Saccharomyces cerevisiae S288C: one gene and its partners. Changing the gene in region 1 together with any one later gene gives a genetic interaction. Each region holds a gene or a part of one and is shown on either strand. Other genes may lie near its edges.

Region 1 (4,831 bases):
AAGCCACCGAAAACTCCTTAGGATGCAACGCTGTAGCTCTCACAGACCTCTTATGATGTGTTAGAACTTTCATTGTTTTCCCAGCAACTACATCCCATAACCTTACCGTAGCATCAGTCGATGAACTCACCACTTGAGGGTCTACTGGAGTACACTGTACTTGATTGATTGGACCCTTATGCCCAACTAGTGTAATAACAGGTATTCTGGTTCTCATATCCCAGAGTTTGATAACGCTATCTCGGCCTGCGGTAGCTATGAGATCCAGCGTTGGATGTATGCTCACCGTACGAACCCCCGATAAATGTCCATAGTAATCTCTAATAATTTGGTTTTTCTCTAGGTCCCAGCATTTGACCGTCTTATCTTCACTAACAGAAAATAAATAAGGATGTCGATCTGACACAGCAACGTCTCTCACTGTCATTACATGCCCTGCTAAGGTAGTTTTTAATTTTCCTGTTGCAAGATCCCAAACTTTCATTGTCGTATCATTACTTCCGGTGATGAACCATTCGTTGTCAACAGGATCGATTGCAACGCATCGTACCCATCCAAGATGGCCATTGATAACGCGTGAAAGTTTCCAGGGTGCATGCCATTCCGGCCTTTGTGACAGAAGTTTTTCGTATCGATTAACTATAAGTTCTTCAGCAACCTCTGGTTGGAAAATTTTATTCACAAAAGCAGATGCATGCGTATCGTGATCTTTCTTGCTAATCACTGCTTGTGATGCTTCTGAAAAATCTGTAGGAACATGCTGCAGAGTAACTTTCTTGCCTTCACCACTAAAAGAAGAACTTTCCTTCCTATAAGTATCATATCGCATTAGCAATGATTTCTGACCTTCCATTTCGCTTTGTAGGTGGGGCGGCAGAGTGGCCATATATGAAAATTGGTTATTCCAGCGTATTCTGGAATAAAATTTGTCTACATCTCCTAAATTTTCGACTTTGTGATCATTTCCGTCCATTCTCACTAATCTCCATGTAACACAGTGTCTGCATCCTCGGAAATGGTTTTAAGATGCAATGAAGTGGGTAATAATTACTGTTAGCTTCACATCTTGAATAATCTTTTATTGCCAAAATTGTAGCTTTTCCGTATTAGATGATGAAGAATTTTGAGCACCCTTACTTAATAAAAGAGTTGTTGAACTCGAAATAGGAATACGAGATGAGGAGTAATTCTCTGAAAGTAGATAGCTCCTCTTGTCACATTGAATGCTACTTTATTGTGACTATAGGTGATTTAAGCGAACGAATGTTCTTAGGTCATCGTGGATTTGTGTGGTGATTTTCGGCTTATCTTAACAATGTTGACCGCGTGGACCCTCCCAATCTTGACAACAGAACACTTATCAATAACGGTATACAATAAATATCTTGTATGAATTAAATAAAGTAACGTTTTTTCCCTCATATCATTCCGAATCATTACGAAAATTCCAATACCTGTATTTTGAAGTCAACAAGAGTTTCGTTATCCGAATACTATTTTTTGTATCAATAAATTTTGTTTCGTTTTTCATTAATAACTAGTCACTGTGTAGTGGAAGCAAGTTCTCCTTATCCGTTGCCAAGAGACAATAAAAGACCCACATATAGGTGAATATACTGCTCACCATGGTTAATCCTGTTGGATCCTCGAAATTGGAACAAAACAATATAAAAAGCATTATAGGATCATCGTACAATCGACTATACAGCCAATTTACTTCTGATGAGTTGACAGAAGTGGGAAACTACAAGATTTTAAAACAAATAGGTGAAGGAAGTTTTGGAAAAGTATATTTAGCGCTCCATAGACCAACACATCGTAAAGTCTGCCTAAAGACGAGTGATAAGAATGATCCCAATATCGTTAGAGAGGTATTTTACCATAGACAGTTCGATTTTCCTTATATTACAAAGCTTTATGAAGTGATAGTGACAGAATCAAAAGTGTGGATGGCATTAGAATATTGCCCAGGGAAGGAATTATATGACCACTTACTTTCTCTGCGTAGAATATCGTTATTGGAATGCGGAGAGTTGTTTGCACAAATTTCAGGTGCTGTTTACTATGCACACTCAATGCATTGTGTTCATAGAGATTTGAAGTTAGAGAATATTTTATTAGACAAAAATGGAAATGCAAAATTGACGGATTTTGGTTTTACGAGAGAATGTATGACAAAGACGACATTAGAAACGGTTTGCGGTACCACAGTTTATATGGCACCTGAATTGATAGAAAGAAGGACTTATGATGGATTCAAGATTGATATATGGTCATTGGGAGTGATACTATACACATTAATTACGGGATATTTGCCATTTGATGATGACGATGAGGCTAAAACGAAATGGAAAATCGTCAATGAAGAACCGAAATACGATGCTAAAGTTATTCCGGACGATGCTAGGGATTTGATCTCACGATTATTGGCTAAAAATCCGGGAGAGCGCCCATCGTTGTCACAAGTTTTACGCCACCCTTTTTTACAGCCTTACGGTTCAGTGGTTTTAGATCAGACTCAGAAAATTTTGTGCAGACAGCGCAGTGGAGGGACTCAGTTTAAAAGTAAATTAGAAAGGCGATTGCTGAAGCGTCTTAAACAATCAGGGGTTGATACGCAAGCAATAAAACAATCAATTTTGAAAAAAAAGTGCGATTCACTCTCGGGTCTATGGTTATTGTTGTTAGCCCAAGGGAAAAAGCAAGAAAATTGCAAATATCCAAAAAGAAGCAGGTCCGTTTTATCAGTCAAAAAAGTTATTGAAAGTGCTACGCATAACGACACTAATGGCATTAGCGAAGATGTTTTGAAACCCTCACTTGAACTTTCTAGAGCTGCTTCATTGAGTAAAATGCTCAATAAAGGCTCAGATTTTGTAACATCGATGACTCCGGTTAGCAGAAAGAAGTCTAAAGATTCAGCAAAAGTTCTGAATCCTACTCTCTCTAAAATATCCTCACAAAGGGCTTATAGTCACTCTATTGCAGGTTCTCCTCGCAAGTCCAATAATTTCTTACAAAAAGTTTCTAGTTTTTTCAAGTCAAAAAAAAGCTCTAACAGCAATAGCAACAATAGTATTCACACAAATGTTAGTGAAAGCTTGATTGCAAGCAATAGAGGAGCCCCATCTTCAGGGTCGTTTCTCAAAAAAAACAGTGGTTCTATTCAGAAATCAAGAACTGACACTGTTGCAAATCCTTCAAGGACGGAGTCTATAGGATCGTTAAACGAAAATGTTGCCGGTGCCATTGTGCCACGGAGTGCTAATAATACTACATTAGAAAATAAGAAAACTTCTGGGAATGAAATAGGCTTAAAAGTAGCTCCAGAACTATTATTAAATGAACATATCCGAATAGAGGAACCTCGCCTCAAGCGCTTCAAATCGTCCATATCAAGTGAAATATCTCAAACTTCTACTGGTAATTATGATAGCGAATCTGCGGAAAATTCTAGGTCTATATCTTTTGATGGAAAAGTTTCCCCGCCACCGATACGAAATCGGCCATTGTCAGAGATATCGCAAATTTCTAATGACACTTATATATCAGAGTACTCCACTGATGGTAATAATTCGTCATTCAAAATTTCAGACACTATCAAGCCGAGCTATATACGAAAAGGCTCTGAAACTACCTCGCAGTATTCAGCTTCATCCGAAAAAATGACAAATGGCTACGGTAGAAAATTTGTCAGGAGGGATTTAAGCATTGTATCGACTGCGTCGAGCACCTCTGAAAGAAGTTCAAGAACAGATTCCTTTTACGATATCACTACAGCTACACCAGTTGTGACCACTGATAATAGGCGCAATAAAAACAATAATCTGAAAGAGTCTGTTTTGCCCAGATTTGGGACTCAAAGGCCATGGACTGGCAAAAGGACGTATACCACGTCCCGCCATGGCAAGAATGCTAGGCGTTCGTCTAAAAGAGGTCTGTTCAAAATAACTTCTTCAAATACAGACTCTATTATTCAAGAAGTAAGCTCATCAGAAGAAGAAGATCATAATGTTATCTATAGCAAGGGAAAGGGTCTTCCAACACCAGTTTTGCAAACTAAAGGATTAATAGAAAATGGGTTGAACGAACGCGATGAAGAAGGAGATGACGAGTATGCAATTCACACTGACGGAGAATTTTCTATCAAACCGCAGTTTTCCGATGACGTTATCGACAAACAGAATCATTTGCCCAGCGTGAAGGCTGTGGCAACTAAACGTTCGTTGAGCGAAGGAAGTAATTGGTCTAGTAGCTATTTGGATTCGGACAATAATCGGCGAAGGGTATCTTCATTGCTAGTAGAGGATGGGGGGAATCCTACAGCGTAGGTACCGGATAACAGAGTAACTGGTAAAAACGGCAAAAAATACTGTAAGGAAGTTGTCTATATATGTACATATGGATATTGCGGTATAATAAAAAAGCTTTAAAATTATAAAGAAACCCGACTTTTATCACATATAATTATATTATAAAAAAATAATGGCATCTGTATGAACTCGCGATTAAGCTCACTTTTTTCTAATGATCGAAGTTTTGTCCGGTTATCCAACTGTGGCAAGAACATCGCGAGGCGGAGCTAAACACAGAATTTTTGTAGCGCGATGAGAAACATAACGCCTCTTTAGATAAATTATCATCACCTTTTTTACACTAAATAATGAAGTAGCATGCTCAGAAGTGCGAATGAATTTTTGTTCTTTTGGTTCTAGAAGAACGGAGATAGGAAACCTATGATGTAAGTATGAATGACATTAAACAATTACTTTGGAATGGTGAGCTTAATGTGCTGGTATCGATCGATCCTTCATTTTTGATGAAAGGAAGT
Region 2 (7,298 bases), on another chromosome or scaffold:
CTTCCATGCGTAGAACAACCTCACATTCATTATTTTTTTTACCCTTCTCTTTTAATTGTTCAATTGCGAACAGACCATCCAAAGATTCGAAAGAAAGACTGAGGTGCTCCGCATAAAATCTTTATAAACTTTAGAAGTAAATGGTTTCGTTCAGAGGGCTGACTACACTAACACTACTTTTTACCAAATTAGTAAACTGTAATCCTGTTTCCACAAAAAATAGGGACTCTATACAGTTTATTTATAAAGAAAAGGATAGTATATACTCTGCCATCAACAATCAAGCCATCAATGAAAAAATTCATGGAGTCAATTTGGGTGGGTGGCTAGTATTGGAGCCGTATATTACACCTTCTTTATTCGAGACTTTCCGTACTAATCCGTACAACGATGACGGTATTCCTGTTGATGAATACCATTTTTGTGAAAAATTAGGCTATGAAAAGGCAAAGGAACGCCTTTATAGTCATTGGTCGACGTTCTATAAAGAGGAAGACTTCGCGAAAATTGCTTCTCAAGGCTTCAATTTGGTTAGAATTCCTATTGGGTATTGGGCCTTTACAACGTTGAGTCATGATCCCTATGTTACCGCCGAGCAGGAATATTTTCTAGACCGGGCTATCGATTGGGCTAGGAAATATGGTTTGAAAGTATGGATTGATCTTCATGGAGCCGCTGGTTCACAAAACGGATTTGATAACTCAGGGTTGAGGGATTCATATAAGTTTCTGGAAGATGAAAATTTAAGCGCCACCATGAAAGCTTTAACGTATATTTTAAGCAAATACTCAACAGACGTATACCTGGACACCGTTATTGGAATCGAATTGCTCAATGAACCGTTAGGTCCAGTTATTGACATGGAAAGATTGAAAAATTTGCTTTTGAAGCCGGCTTATGACTATTTGAGAAATAAAATTAATAGCAACCAGATCATTGTAATACATGATGCTTTTCAACCTTACCATTATTGGGATGGGTTTTTGAATGATGAAAAGAACGAATATGGCGTCATAATTGACCATCATCATTATCAGGTGTTCTCGCAGGTGGAATTAACAAGAAAAATGAATGAACGTATCAAAATCGCCTGCCAATGGGGGAAAGATGCCGTAAGCGAGAAGCATTGGTCCGTAGCAGGCGAATTTTCAGCGGCCTTAACAGATTGTACAAAGTGGTTAAATGGGGTTGGTCTAGGTGCCAGATATGATGGAAGTTGGACCAAAGACAATGAAAAATCTCATTACATAAATACGTGTGCAAACAACGAGAATATTGCCTTGTGGCCCGAAGAGAGAAAACAGAACACTAGAAAGTTTATCGAGGCTCAATTAGATGCTTTTGAAATGACTGGTGGATGGATAATGTGGTGTTACAAGACAGAGAATAGTATCGAATGGGATGTTGAAAAATTGATTCAACTCAACATTTTTCCGCAACCTATCAACGATAGGAAATATCCTAACCAATGTCATTGAAATTTTGTGGCATATATTTAAGGTCTTGGGAATGTGATGATTATTATTGGAGAAAAAATTGCCATCTAAAACTCTTTATATAACATGATGAGGTATACAAATAAAAAATACTTTATATCTTATAATTATGCAAATAAAAGTGCTTCCATCAACCGCTACTTCACTTTTTATCTGAACTATGAATGGGGAGCTCATGATGATTACCTGTTGATATTACGTGAGGCGGAAGAGAAGCACGAGACACGGGTCACTCTCGATATTACCGGACAGTTTACTTAGACTATGTAACGAATATGAGAGGAAGAAAAACAATAAATAAATACAAACCTCTCCGCAGTTTTATGAAAGAACAGGACAGGGCGTCTATACCGATTTTTACATCTATCTTTTGAGTGCTTGAAAGGAGACGCTGGACTATATCTTTAGGTTAAACATCTGTCAAATGGCAGCAGTACCCACCATCGACCTTACACTAGCCGATTCAGATAATGAAGACATATTCCATTCTTTTTCGTCTTCAACAAGTGTGGATAAGATAGACATTAGGAAAGAAAATGGGAAATTAAGAATGGCAGGCTTGGAAGTCGCCCAATCTAATGACGATGCAGCACGTCAAGCATTCCATGTTTTCAAGACGAACATATCAAATAATGAAACCTTCGATACTATTCTTTCAAAGAGCAAGACAATCACAGACAGTACCTTCAACAATGAAAAATCTTCCAACGAAGTAAAACAGCAGCAAGTCTTGAAGGAAGAAACGATGGGATCTTCCAACGATGAGAAGAAAACACAAGAGAGCAGCCCAAGCGCAGAGATGATAAAACTTTTTTATGAAAACGATGATGTGCCGTTATCCGATAGTTTTAAACAAAAAGAGGAAGGTAAAAGAATAAATCAGGATGAGCAAGTGAAGGAAAATATCTGTGGCATTTCTTCCTCATACGTCTCCAAAGACTACGATGGCGTTGAAGATGATTTCGAGCCTAATACTTGCCAGGACAGCAATTTGGATTTTCAAGAGGAGAAGTTAAACTTGAATAACAAACCGTCACAGCAACAGTTCAGCGACCCAGAAACAAAAGATAACAGTTTGAAGAGCGAAAACAAAGACCAAATAAAAGGAGTCACAACAACAAGTTATCGTGATTTACCTATTGAATCTAGTGCTTTCCAGGATTCTGAAACTCAAAATAACTCCAAAAACACTATACCTAACATCGTAAATGAAAAGCGAACGCCAGCATTACCGTCCAATCTAAGCTCTGTTGAGAGTTCCCTTAAAAACGAGACGGCCAAAGTAGAGGGGAAGACGACCGTTCGTCTTCCAGGACTTCAAAATAATGTTGCCTTACTTGAGCAAGAACAAAGTGAACTATTCAAGCACTTTAGTGAACAACCTGTCGATATTAGCGATTTTGGTCGTAAGATTAAAAGGAAGCATAGCGGAGATTTTGCAGATAACAAGATACTTAAAAGACCGATATTGCCCTCAAAAAATATGGACCACACAACACATAATTCACATGATTCCGAACAGAAAAATAGCTCGATTATTATTCTTTCAGATGAGGACGAATCTGGTGCCGGTATCAATGATATAGAAAGTCCTTTGAAAGTTTCTGAACCAAATACAGCTGATGCGCTTAGGAGCAGTGTACCAGAAGTCATATCTTTACTTGACCTACCCAATATTGACTTGAATAACTCAGTAATAAAAGAAGCAAGTGGCAGCAATTCAATTCCTACATCAGAAACAGACGCACAATCCTCGAGTTCGTCAGTTCTTCAAGGAACTATCATGACAGAACAAGCTACTCAATCCTCTCAACACGAATGTAACAGTTCACTTGATACTCTAAAAAAAAATCATCAAAAATTATTGAAGGATTTGAATTCTAGAGAGTCTGAACTACGTAATGCTCTCAGTTGCTGCAAGACAAACTCTGAAATTTTAAGAAGGAAACTAAGTAGAAGAGAAAAGGAGGTCTCTGATGCTGAAAAACATTGGCAGTTATTGTTGACATCGATGGCTAGAGGGGGAAGAACTATCAGCTCAACTCAGCAGATATTAGTTGATGAAGCTGAGAACCAATTAAACAAACTGAAGGAAAAAAGACAGTTGACAAAATCGAAGCTAGATTCAATCAATTTGAAAATGTATAATTATAACGAACAATGGAAGTCCTTTGTGCATTCGAAAAATATAAACCTGCAGAAATCTTTGGCTGCCCTTGAGCGGTCAGCCAGGGATAGTAAAGCTTCTGCGACCGTAAATAAAAGAAACGAATGCCTGGCTGAGAAAGAAAAGCTAGACCAAATGTTAAAAGAAGGAACCCTAAGCTTCAGTACCTACAAGCAGTTAACAGGGGAGATCCAGCAGAAACTGAATGACTTGAAACTGGGGGACCAACGCACAACTGATATCAATAGTGTATTGCCAATAGTACGGCAACCTCTCGCCAAAAGAGATTTATTTATTAAGTCCATTGATACTGCAAAAGATTTATTAGCCAAGAACACATCCAGGACAGAAATGACGAAGAGAATTCTTTATAGACATTTGGACAACTTGGTCTCTTATAAAAACTTTTTTGAAGACGGAAGATCCTTAATAGATATAAACAGAAGACACGTTGCACATGAATCGGCCCAAATATTGTTCACCAACGGTGTAAAGATGCCCATTGTTTTTGAAACATTACAAGATTACGGCATCAAGTTTTCTAATCCAGCCATTGTCAATCCTGACAGAAGAGCCCAATATTTTAAAAGCATCGAAGTTGCACGCGATCTCATATCAAAGTCTACTAGATCAGAGGATGCTAAACGAAAGATTACTCGATTTTTGAATATAATTGAAGAATTTCGTAAAGATATTGACACCGGATTTCCACCTACTCCTTTAAAAAGGGAAGGCGTCGGAAAAGCTGTTGTTGGGCTAAGACAACAAGGACTTAAGATGGACAGACTATATGAAAATTTGAGAAGATATAAGATTCCAATAACAAGTGAAGAATTACTGCAGCAAAGCTATTTATTTCCGGTAAACGCAGATCAACGACCTCCTTCAAACTGGAACATCGTGGAAAATACCGAAGATACTAGTTCTACAGCCAATGATCTATCGATGCAAGATGAATTTCACATCTCTAATATGCATGCAGCAGAAGATCAAGAACAGATTAGGGCTCTTTTAGAGAATGTCAAACAATCTGAATCCATTATAGACGGCGAAGCACTTACTCCCGAGGATATGACCGTAAACTTATTAAAACACCAGAGGCTGGGTCTGCATTGGTTGTTACAAGTTGAAAACTCCGCAAAAAAAGGGGGTCTGCTTGCTGACGATATGGGCCTGGGTAAAACGATTCAAGCTATTGCATTGATGTTAGCAAATCGCTCAGAGGAATCCAAATGTAAAACCAATTTGATCGTCGCACCAGTCTCAGTCTTGAGAGTTTGGAAAGGTGAATTAGAAACGAAAGTAAAAAAACGCGCAAAATTTACTACATTTATTTTTGGAGGATCAGGTAACGGAAAAGTTAAGCACTGGAGGGATTTGGCAAGATATGATGCTGTTTTGGTATCTTATCAAACTCTAGCAAACGAATTTAAGAAACATTGGCCGAAAAAACTGGATGGTGAACAAAATCAGCTACCAGCTGTGCCTCATATACAAGCTCTTAATAGGTTGAAAACCTCAAATGAATACTACTCTCCATTTTTCTGCAATGATTCAACGTTTTACAGAATTTTACTGGACGAAGGCCAAAACATCAAGAACAAAAATACAAGGGCTTCTAAAGCGTGCTGTACTATAAATGGAATGTATAGGTGGGTCTTGTCTGGTACGCCGATTCAAAATAGTATGGATGAGCTTTATTCCTTGATAAGATTTCTAAGAATTCCACCCTACCACAAGGAGCAACGGTTTAAATTAGACATTGGAAGGTTTTTTCAGAGAAATAAGCAATATCAATATGATAACGAGGATAGAAAAAACGCATTAAGAAAGGTTAGAGTCCTTCTAAATGCCATTATGCTTCGTCGGTCTAAGGCTGATAAGATCGACGGCAAACCTTTACTGGAGCTCCCTCCTAAAATTGTGGAAGTAGATGAATCACGCCTGAAGGGAGAGGAATTAAAATTTTACACAGCTTTGGAATCAAAAAATCAAGCACTCGCTAAGAAATTGTTGAACAATTCTACGAGGGGGAGCTACTCTAGCGTTCTCACATTACTACTTCGCTTAAGGCAGGCTTGTTGTCATTCAGAATTAGTTGTGATGGGAGAAAAAAAAGCGGAAGGTACAAAGGTAGCTAACGGCAAAAGCTTTGAAGATGACTGGCTCAGGCTCTACTATAAAATCACTCACATGAGCGGAGAAGCGCAGGCTCAGGTTATTACTTCAATGAATTCTATGACATGTTTCTGGTGCATGGAACAATTAGAACCAGAAGCGATGTCCGTTCTGACAGGTTGTGGTCATTTGATTTGCGACACTTGTATCGAGCCCTTCATCGAAGAGTCATCCATGCTACCTCAGGCCAAGAAAACCAAAGGTGGGGCATTTGCTATCCCATGCAAAGATTGTCAACGTTTGACAAACGAGAAAGATATTGTTTCGCACAAGTTATACGACCAGGTAATAAACCAGGGATTTACTGAGGAAGATTTGCATGCAGAGTATTTAAGTGAAATGGAGAAACAAAAAATACAGCAAAAAAATGTATATGTGCCAAATTTTGAGAGTTTAGAACCATCTACGAAGATAGAGCAATGTATACAGGTTATTCAAAGAGTTTTTGATGAATCAGCAACCGAAAAAATTATTATTTTTTCCCAGTTTACAACATTTTTTGAGATTCTCGAACATTTTCTCAAAAATAAACTGAATTTTCCCTACTTGAAATATATTGGATCAATGAACGCTCAGAGAAGATCAGATGTTATCAACGAATTTTATCGTGACCCTGAGAAAAGGATACTTCTGATTTCCATGAAAGCCGGTAACTCAGGACTAACATTGACATGTGCGAACCATGTAGTTATAGTTGATCCATTTTGGAATCCTTACGTCGAAGAACAAGCTCAAGACCGTTGCTATAGAATTAGTCAAACAAAAAAAGTCCAGGTGCATAAATTGTTTATAAAGGACTCTGTTGAGGATCGTATTTCTGAATTACAGAAGAGAAAGAAGGAAATGGTCGATTCTGCCATGGACCCAGGCAAGATAAAGGAAGTGAATAGTTTAGGGCGTCGGGAGTTAGGATTTTTATTTGGTTTAAACGCTCTTTGAAGAACTTGGTGAATTTTGAAGCATTATTGCGATACACATATGTATATGTTGATAATTGGTGGCTAAGCTTCTAGTTTGTAGGCTTAAGTAACTTCACTCGTTGGCACTTACGAGCTTGGCATTTAATGGAACAGAAAATAAGCCGTAAATCGGCCCTACTTTAAGTATAAGAAATATGCGAAATTTGATATGATCGTTTGAATTACTTTTTGAAAAAGAAAATACCATTAGTAACATACAATATAAGAAGCTCGTCTCCTGGATTTGGAAATCCACAAAAGATTATCAACAATGCCACGAATAACATAATTGCTTCCCCCTCCTGTTAATTGCTTTAACTCATTATTGCATCGTTAACAGTTGTTACTAAATTTGATTTTTGTTTCTCATCATATATGTAATCTTCAAACGCCAGTATAATTATACGCTCGCAACAGCTACCATACATTAATGAACCGATGAAAATATCCCGTTTGATGATAACTGGCAATTAAATGACAGTATTAATTAATAATCAA
Region 3 (4,208 bases), on another chromosome or scaffold:
TAGGCCGTTACAGCAGAACACAATTTTTAGTTTAGACCCAACAAGGTGAACCATACGAACTGATATGAGGTTTCTTTCAAAAAGGATACTGAAACCTGTACTTTCAGTGATCATTCTAATATCGATTGCCGTAACCGTTGTTCTTTACTTTTTAACGGCGAATGAGAACTATTTGCAAGCAGTCAAGGATAGTGCCAAGTCCCAGTATGCTTCTCTCCGGGAGAGCTACAAAAGTATTACAGGTAAAACTGAAAGCGCTGATGAACTTCCTGATCATGATGCTGAGGTGTTAGATAGCATAATGGACAGGCTACACGAGCCCCTTTATGAAAAGGACACTTTTGACCCGAATGAAGTCCTTGCTGAAAATAAACAGTTGTACGAGGAGTTTTTACTTCAAGAAATTTCTGAGCCAAAGGTGGACAATTTGGTACGTAGCGGGGATCCGTTAGCCGGCAAGGCAAAAGGAACTATTTTGAGTTTGGTGAGAAATTCTGATTTAGAGGATATAATTTCTTCTATTCAACAGCTAGAAGAGGAGTACAATAAGAATTTTGGATATCCCTATACCTTCCTTAACGATGAGGAATTTACTGACGAATTCAAAGATGGAATAAAAAGTATTCTTCCTAAGGACCGTGTAGTAGAATTTGGCACTATTGGTCCAGATAACTGGAATATGCCTGATAGCATAGATAGGGAGAGATACGACCAAGAAATGGACAAAATGAGTAAAGAGAACATTCAGTATGCAGAGGTGGAATCCTATCATAACATGTGTCGTTTCTATTCTAAAGAATTTTACCATCATCCTCTGCTATCTAAATATAAATATGTGTGGAGATTAGAGCCAAACGTGAATTTCTATTGCAAAATTAACTATGACGTTTTCCAATTTATGAACAAGAATGACAAGATTTATGGGTTTGTTTTGAACCTCTATGATAGTCCGCAAACCATCGAAACGCTATGGACTTCAACTATGGATTTTGTCGAGGAACACCCAAACTATTTGAACGTCAACGGAGCCTTCGCATGGCTAAAAGATAACTCTCAAAATCCAAAAAATTATGATTATACTCAAGGGTATTCAACTTGTCATTTCTGGACCAATTTTGAAATAGTCGATTTAGACTTTTTGAGGTCAGAACCTTATGAAAAATATATGCAATATCTTGAAGAAAAGGGAGGATTCTACTATGAAAGGTGGGGTGATGCCCCTGTAAGAAGTTTGGCACTTGCTTTATTTGCGGATAAGTCAAGCATCCATTGGTTCAGGGATATAGGTTATCACCATACTCCGTACACGAACTGTCCAACTTGTCCAGCAGATTCAGATAGGTGTAATGGAAATTGTGTACCAGGCAAATTCACTCCTTGGAGTGATCTAGACAACCAAAATTGCCAGGCAACCTGGATAAGACACTCTATGTCTGAGGAAGAGTTAGAAATGTATTGAAGACATTAGCTTTGAGAATTTGTGCCGCTGCTTTCGAGAACGGCATCACATCTGGGGTTTTATGATTTAATTTAGGACGCACATAGATAGATATATATTATGGAATTAAGAAAAGTTTATAATGTAGCAACCTAAAAATGTTACAGGTGAACATTCATGGAAAATGAAATGTTTCTCAGCCAGTAGATAGTATTGTTGAAGGTATTATTGGTTTGAGAAAGCTACTCCTCAAAAATGTCACTTGATAATATGGAATTATAATGTCGTTATATTTTCAATCATTTCAATACAATATGGTAAACCGAAATCCAAAAACTTTACAATATCTCTTATCTATTGTTATTCGACATTCTTCCCGGGCCTTAACGGCTTCTTAACTAATATTACCCTAAACGGACAAATGGCGAAGGGCCCCATTCATTTACGAACAGGAAAAAAAGAAAGTGACAATACAGCCATAATTTGATGTACCATCTTAATCAGCATATGTTTTCACTAATATACTAAACCCATATGGATGCACGTTGAAAGCACTGTGTGAAAAGAAATTGTCAAGAAAGCCATATAAATGCTGAAAAACTTCAAACTCTCAAAAAGAGATAGTAATGGGTCGAAGGGCAGAATTACATCCGCAGATATTTCCACACCTTCTCATGATAATGGGAGTGTTATAAAGCATATTAAGACAGTACCAGTGAGGTACCTTTCTTCATCTTCCACCCCAGTGAAAAGCCAACGGGACTCTTCACCAAAAAACAGACATAATTCTAAAGATATTACTTCTCCAGAGAAAGTTATAAAAGCCAAATACAGTTATCAGGCACAAACTTCAAAGGAACTATCTTTCATGGAAGGTGAATTTTTTTATGTATCTGGAGATGAGAAGGATTGGTATAAAGCTTCAAATCCTTCTACTGGAAAAGAGGGTGTTGTCCCCAAAACCTATTTTGAAGTGTTTGATAGAACTAAACCTTCCTCTGTGAATGGATCCAATAGTTCAAGTCGGAAGGTTACAAATGATTCATTAAACATGGGATCGTTATACGCCATTGTTTTATATGACTTTAAGGCAGAAAAAGCTGATGAGTTGACAACTTATGTGGGAGAGAATTTGTTTATTTGCGCCCACCATAACTGTGAATGGTTCATTGCTAAGCCAATTGGTCGACTTGGAGGGCCCGGCCTTGTTCCTGTTGGGTTTGTTAGCATCATAGATATTGCCACGGGGTACGCAACAGGTAACGACGTAATAGAAGACATCAAGTCAGTTAACCTACCAACTGTTCAAGAATGGAAAAGCAACATTGCAAGATACAAAGCTAGTAATATTAGCCTTGGTTCTGTGGAGCAGCAGCAGCAGCAATCCATTACAAAACCTCAGAACAAAAGCGCAAAGCTGGTTGACGGTGAATTATTAGTGAAAGCATCCGTTGAATCCTTTGGGTTAGAAGATGAGAAGTATTGGTTTTTGGTTTGCTGTGAATTATCTAACGGTAAGACGAGGCAACTGAAAAGATACTATCAAGATTTCTACGATCTGCAGGTTCAACTTTTGGATGCGTTCCCAGCAGAGGCCGGTAAGTTGAGGGATGCAGGTGGACAATGGTCCAAACGTATAATGCCCTATATCCCTGGACCCGTTCCATACGTTACCAATAGCATAACAAAAAAAAGAAAGGAGGACTTGAATATATATGTGGCAGACCTAGTGAATCTTCCCGATTATATATCTCGCTCAGAAATGGTGCATTCCTTATTCGTTGTTTTGAATAATGGTTTCGACAGAGAATTTGAAAGAGACGAAAATCAAAACAATATTAAAACATTACAAGAAAACGATACAGCAACCTTTGCAACAGCATCTCAAACTTCTAATTTTGCCTCAACTAACCAAGACAACACTTTAACTGGCGAAGACTTGAAGTTAAACAAGAAACTCTCAGATTTATCTTTATCGGGCTCCAAGCAGGCTCCAGCCCAATCAACTTCTGGATTGAAAACTACTAAAATTAAATTTTATTACAAAGACGATATTTTTGCTTTAATGCTGAAGGGTGACACAACCTATAAAGAACTTCGTAGTAAAATCGCTCCAAGGATTGATACAGATAATTTTAAATTACAAACCAAATTATTTGATGGTAGCGGGGAGGAAATTAAGACTGATTCACAAGTCAGTAACATAATCCAAGCCAAACTGAAAATTTCCGTTCACGATATTTGAATCTAGTGTTAGAAGACGAAGCATTTTTCTTCTTTACTTGGCAGATGCACATAGGTTGAACATTTTAATCAACTTTATGATGATTTGCGAGAGTAATAAGATTCTCCCGAACAGTAATAATATTAAGGTATCCAATTCTTCCGAAACAGCGTGATTTGTAATAAAAATAAATAAGGACATATATGTATATAGAAAGTTGCTTAAACTTTTTAGACCACTTGGAAATATTTTTTATTTATATTTTTCTTCAAATGTAAAGTTGGGTACCTAAGCTTAAATTCACCTGAAAATGAATTATATGAAAGATTTTACACCACATGTAAAAAAAAACGTACAAAAAGCCAAATATTTCCACTCAATCATAATGCATGAATTATAGGTATTTTAAGTTATATTGCTGACGTAAAATTCAGAAGAGACTACAAGAAAAATTCTGAACATATTTATTCTTAAATATGCTTTTGTGCTTCCATATGTGTCAAAGGATAATGTGGCTCCCTTTCGATTTAATGAAGTGGCGTAGAT
Region 4 (4,479 bases), on another chromosome or scaffold:
AAAAAAATTGAACTAGAAAGGCCACAAATTCTTCATCACAAGTCTACATCCTCTTTGTTGCCACTTCCAGGCTCGAGCAAGAGTTCCAATAATCTGAAAAGATCGTCTAGTAGGACACATTTATCCCACTCTCCATTACCAAGGAATAATAGCGGATCCTCAGTATCATTGCAGCAGTTGGCGAGAAACAACACAGATAGTTCATTTAATCTAAATCTCTCTTTCACTTCAGCAAAAAGCAGCACAGGAAGCAGACATTTTCCGTTTAATATGACAACATCTTTCACTAGTAATTCAAGTTCCAAGAACAATTCACATTTTGATAAAACTGATTCTACATCTGACGCTAATAAGCCAAGAGAAGAGGAAAACTATACGAGCGCAACCCACAATCGAAGGTCACGCTCATCGTCAGTTCGGAGCAACAATAGCAACTCACCATTAAGACAAGGAACAGGTTCATTTGCTAATTTAATGGAGATGTTCACAAAACGGGATCGCTCATAGACTGCTTTATTTTTTGTCTTCGAAATTTCGACAAAAAGATATGAGCAATACTTCATACACGTTTGTACAGTTAAGCATATATACTTTGATAGAGTACTTTCATACCTCATACCACTTGAAAAATGATAATATAATGTTATAATACTACCTCATAATTGCTATAAAGTAAAACAATTCGGCGTTGTAGTTTATGCTTCTATAATCACAAAAAAATTTCACTGAAGTTGTCAGATTCTGCCGCAAGGCTTCTCATAGATTTTGTTAAGTGGTCTTACTCGGTTTTATGGCTTGAAGGTTAACATAATTATGAAAACTTATTGATATCCTCCCCACCCCTAACGTTTTAAAAATGATCTCGTCCAATATGTTTGAGGTGAATAATATCGGACCAGTTCTTGTTTTTAAAAGATAAGAATTGCTCATATTTCCCATACTTGTTGGAAAATTTCTCTCAACAATTGTATGAAGGCAAAATCCCTCAATTGAAACATTAAAATAGTGATTAGAAAAACAGGATTAATCAGTTATACGAACGTATTTTTGAGAGAATATAATGAGAATACAATGAGCTTCAGAAGATCTGTTTTTCTTTACTTGGCACTTCTTCCTCAACAATTATTGGCACTACAAAATTTTCTAATTAAATGTTAAAGATCCCACAGACATCATTCGTATATATCCTCCCATTTTATACGGTTAGCCAACTTTGCGATCCTACGGAAATTGCTATTTTTATAGTCAACTCATTGATCTCGAGCACAGCTGCTCTTTTCTCTCAATGAATTACGTTATATGTTAATCACACAAGCATCAGTTTTTCATCGCAAAAGAAAATATTTAGAGTTCTTGCAATTCAGATGTACCTCAATTAATAACTCAATCACCTCCTATGTTCTTGCTGGTAGTACTGCTTTTGTCTTAATTACTGCTGAATCAGCCTTCTAGAAGACCGTTCTGTTTCAGCCGCTCGCCCCTTTTCAAAGCTTGCGCGGCTGAGTTTTATGAGGGGCGGCTTTTTTGTGAATGGCAATCTACCATTATTAGTAGCAATATGATTTGCAGATAGATACATATATATCCTTCTGGGTTCATGTCTCGTTACCATCCACACTAATGCATAGGACCAGAAAGAAAGGACATCGAATCCAACACGTATTAAAATAAGGACTCCTCATTAAAAAGGCTTTTAATATTCAACTTGCTATAGATCACGCACCCTTTTGGCAAGTCAACCTTAAATTATTATGATTTCTGTTTGCCCACAAAATGACTTGCAAAAATGCTACAGAAGCCTCACATTCGATGTTCCAGGACAACAATTCGAAGAGAGAAATGAACAAAACCTTAAAAAACGGGCCAAAAAGAAAGGCAGTTTCCAACCATCTGTTGCCTTTGACACAGTGCCTTCCACCGCTGGTTATTCTTCTATAGACGACAGCAGGGAAGGATTCAAAGGTGTACCTGTTCCCAACTATTACACGATGGAAGAGTGCTATGACGATGAAACAGACTCTTTTTCGCCAAATTTGCAATATTATTTGAGAGATACATTCCAATCATCACCTTTTCTGAATACTAGAAAAGAGAACAAATCTGAATCCAGTAGTTTTCCAATGAGATCCTCAAAGTTGTTGGAAAAGAATTCTGACATCAAAAAATATTTCTTGGTATCCAAGAATGGAAAAATAGTGAGGAGAGACTATCCAAGCACGCCAGTAATTGTCAACGAAACGTTGATGATAAACAGGTTTGAAAAGAACTGGATAAAGTTATGGCGCCAAAGAAAACTACAAATAAATGAAAGGCTGAATGACAAAAAAAAATGGTTTACTTACCCAGAACTTATCTTCTCTGAAGAGCGTATTAAACCGTTATATAGAGGAGATGATAGTGCACCATGTACAAAAGAACAAAAAAGAAAGCATAAAATACTTCAACAAAAGGTCGGATATCCCAATAACCCTAAGACAATAGTTTGTCACATTAACGGAAAAAAACATACGTGGGTTGCCCTAGACTGGACAGTCTACAAGTTTGCACGAAATCTTGATCACATTGTTGTCATAACTACACTGCCAAAAATGATTTCTAACAGGAAAAAAACTGCAAAAGATGATACAGAATGGGCACCGGGATATCAAAAAGAAGTAATAGATCAAAAATTAAACGACATTTTTGATTATATTTTACAGCTAGTAAAAGTGGTCAAAATATCCGTCAAAATTACTTTAGAAATAATTGTAGGCAAAATTAAAAAAAGTCTGGTAGATGTCATTAATGTCCATACTCCAGATTTCTTAGTTCTTGCTACTTTAAAGCACGAGCGAAATGAGAATCTTATTACATATAAATCCAAAAAGCTGACAGATGTCTTTCCTGTTAGTTATCCGATTCCCACATTTGTTGTTCCCTCGAAACGAATGTATTCGTTCGAACTGAATCTACAAAGAGAAGTAAATGAACATTATGTCTCAAAAAATCATATGAAGCACGAACACACTGACGTTGAGAGCATGAGCAGTTCAATGTTCAAAAAAAATACAATATCAGATATTTCTTCACATATTTCCGTAGATTCGTACGCCGAAGATTTCAAAAGGCAAGGCTACATCAAAAAGCAGTTCAACACCTCTAATGATTCCATTCCAAGAAAATTGACCGGTCTCGCCCAGCATTCAAGAAGGAAGATCACGGGTGATATAGAAAAATTACAAGACGATGAGAAAGATAGAGAATGTACTAAGGAAAAACTTTTGTTGAAGAAAATTGATATCATAATTAGAGAGTCATTGAAGTCTTCTTTAGCGATAGAGACGTTGCCTGGTAAAAATGTATCGCAGTCCAGTCACGGTGACCAAATTTCCAGCTTTAAGAATGCTTTGATAGGCAATGGGTCGAAAAACACAAAGTTTAGAAAATCTTTAATACCATATTCTTCCTCAGAGGAACAAAATACCACAACAACTATTAAACTCAGTAGCTCGCCTACGTCCCAAATCAAGTTTGCAACCTCTGTAAAACACAAAGATGGAAGAGCCGCCCTTGGCAAAGCCAGAAATCTGCCTGATATAAGGCACAGTATTTCCTTCGACAAAGAAAATTCCTTTGATCCATCTGATAAAAGCAGTAGTGTTGATAATAGCATTCCTTTGAGGAAAGTTAAAAGTGCCGGTGCGTTAAGAAAAGTCAAAACTAATGACTCCTCAAGTAGTGCAGGGTCAAAGAAAAGCTCGTCTAGTTTTAGTACTGTGAACACCTTCACTGGGGGTGGAGTTGGGATTTTTAAGGTGTTTAAAAGTGGAAGTTCCTCTGGAAATAAATCATCCAGTAGAAGGAATAGTAGCAGTGGCGATGTTTTTGAAAGTGATGATCGTAACGACAAGAAAAAGAAGAAGAAAAAAAAGAAGAAATCATTGTTCTTATTCGGCAAAATATGAGCGGATAGTTTGTACACATAGTGTCCCTAAAATTCCTATTGATGAATAGATCAATTTTATTAGCAGACAATTGGGGGCAGCAACTGAATAGCAGAAGAAATTTGAGTTCAATTATTTTTTTTTCCTGTCATACATAATGGCCTATTTACAGGTACATACATATAGAGTATGTATATAAAATCTCTGTTGAAGAAGACATCATTCTTAGTCCTTGGCAATCTTAGCCAGGATTTCAGCGTCCCTGAAAAGAATAACTTCATCGTCGTTACCCAATTTAATGGTAGAACCACCAAACTGTGGAATCAAAACTTGGTCACCAACTTTAACTTGAGGAACAACCTTATTACCATTAGCATCAGTAAAGCCCGGGCCTACGGCAACAACTTCAGCTTGGTTTAACTTCTCCACGTTCTTTTCAGGTAAATACAACCCGGATGCTGTCTTTGCTTGTGCCTTGATTCTTTGGACAAGGACACGGTCCATCAATGGAACGATAGATTTAGCAGACTTCAAAAGGGTGGACATTCTTTTTTTT

What was found.
Region 2: mutations in YPL150W (region 1) and ULS1 together harm fitness more than expected from each alone (negative genetic interaction), as found in Saccharomyces cerevisiae (3 studies listed by BioGRID).
Region 3: mutations in YPL150W (region 1) and BEM1 together harm fitness more than expected from each alone (negative genetic interaction), as found in Saccharomyces cerevisiae (3 studies listed by BioGRID).
Region 4: mutations in YPL150W (region 1) and YOR019W together harm fitness more than expected from each alone (negative genetic interaction), as found in Saccharomyces cerevisiae (3 studies listed by BioGRID).

Annotation. Positions count from the first base shown.
Region 1 is NC_001148.4:266,563-271,393, forward strand, and holds YPL150W (non-specific serine/threonine protein kinase), read left to right. Parts: upstream 1-1,625; coding exon 1,626-4,331; downstream 4,332-4,831. Other genes in the region: mRNA splicing protein PRP46, read right to left, coding at 1-973; ATG5 (Atg5p), read left to right, coding at 4,748-4,831. UniProt on the Saccharomyces cerevisiae protein: Putative serine/threonine-protein kinase.
Region 2 is NC_001147.6:690,555-697,852, forward strand, and holds ULS1 (translocase ULS1), read left to right. Parts: upstream 1-1,920; coding exon 1,921-6,780; downstream 6,781-7,298. Other genes in the region: SPR1 (glucan 1,3-beta-glucosidase), read left to right, coding at 141-1,478. UniProt on the Saccharomyces cerevisiae protein: ATP-dependent helicase involved mating type switching and in silencing interference through its interaction with the silencing regulator SIR4. Cooperates with UBC4 and UBC5 to mediate ubiquitination of SUMO conjugates.
Region 3 is NC_001134.8:618,845-623,052, forward strand, and holds BEM1 (phosphatidylinositol-3-phosphate-binding protein BEM1), read left to right. Parts: upstream 1-2,027; coding exon 2,028-3,683; downstream 3,684-4,208. Other genes in the region: KTR4 (putative mannosyltransferase), read left to right, coding at 65-1,459; YBR200W-A (uncharacterized protein), read left to right, coding at 4,139-4,208.
Region 4 is NC_001147.6:366,376-370,854, forward strand, and holds YOR019W (uncharacterized protein), read left to right. Parts: upstream 1-1,751; coding exon 1,752-3,944; downstream 3,945-4,479. Other genes in the region: ROD1 (Rod1p), read left to right, coding at 1-507; HSP10 (Hsp10p), read right to left, coding at 4,149-4,469.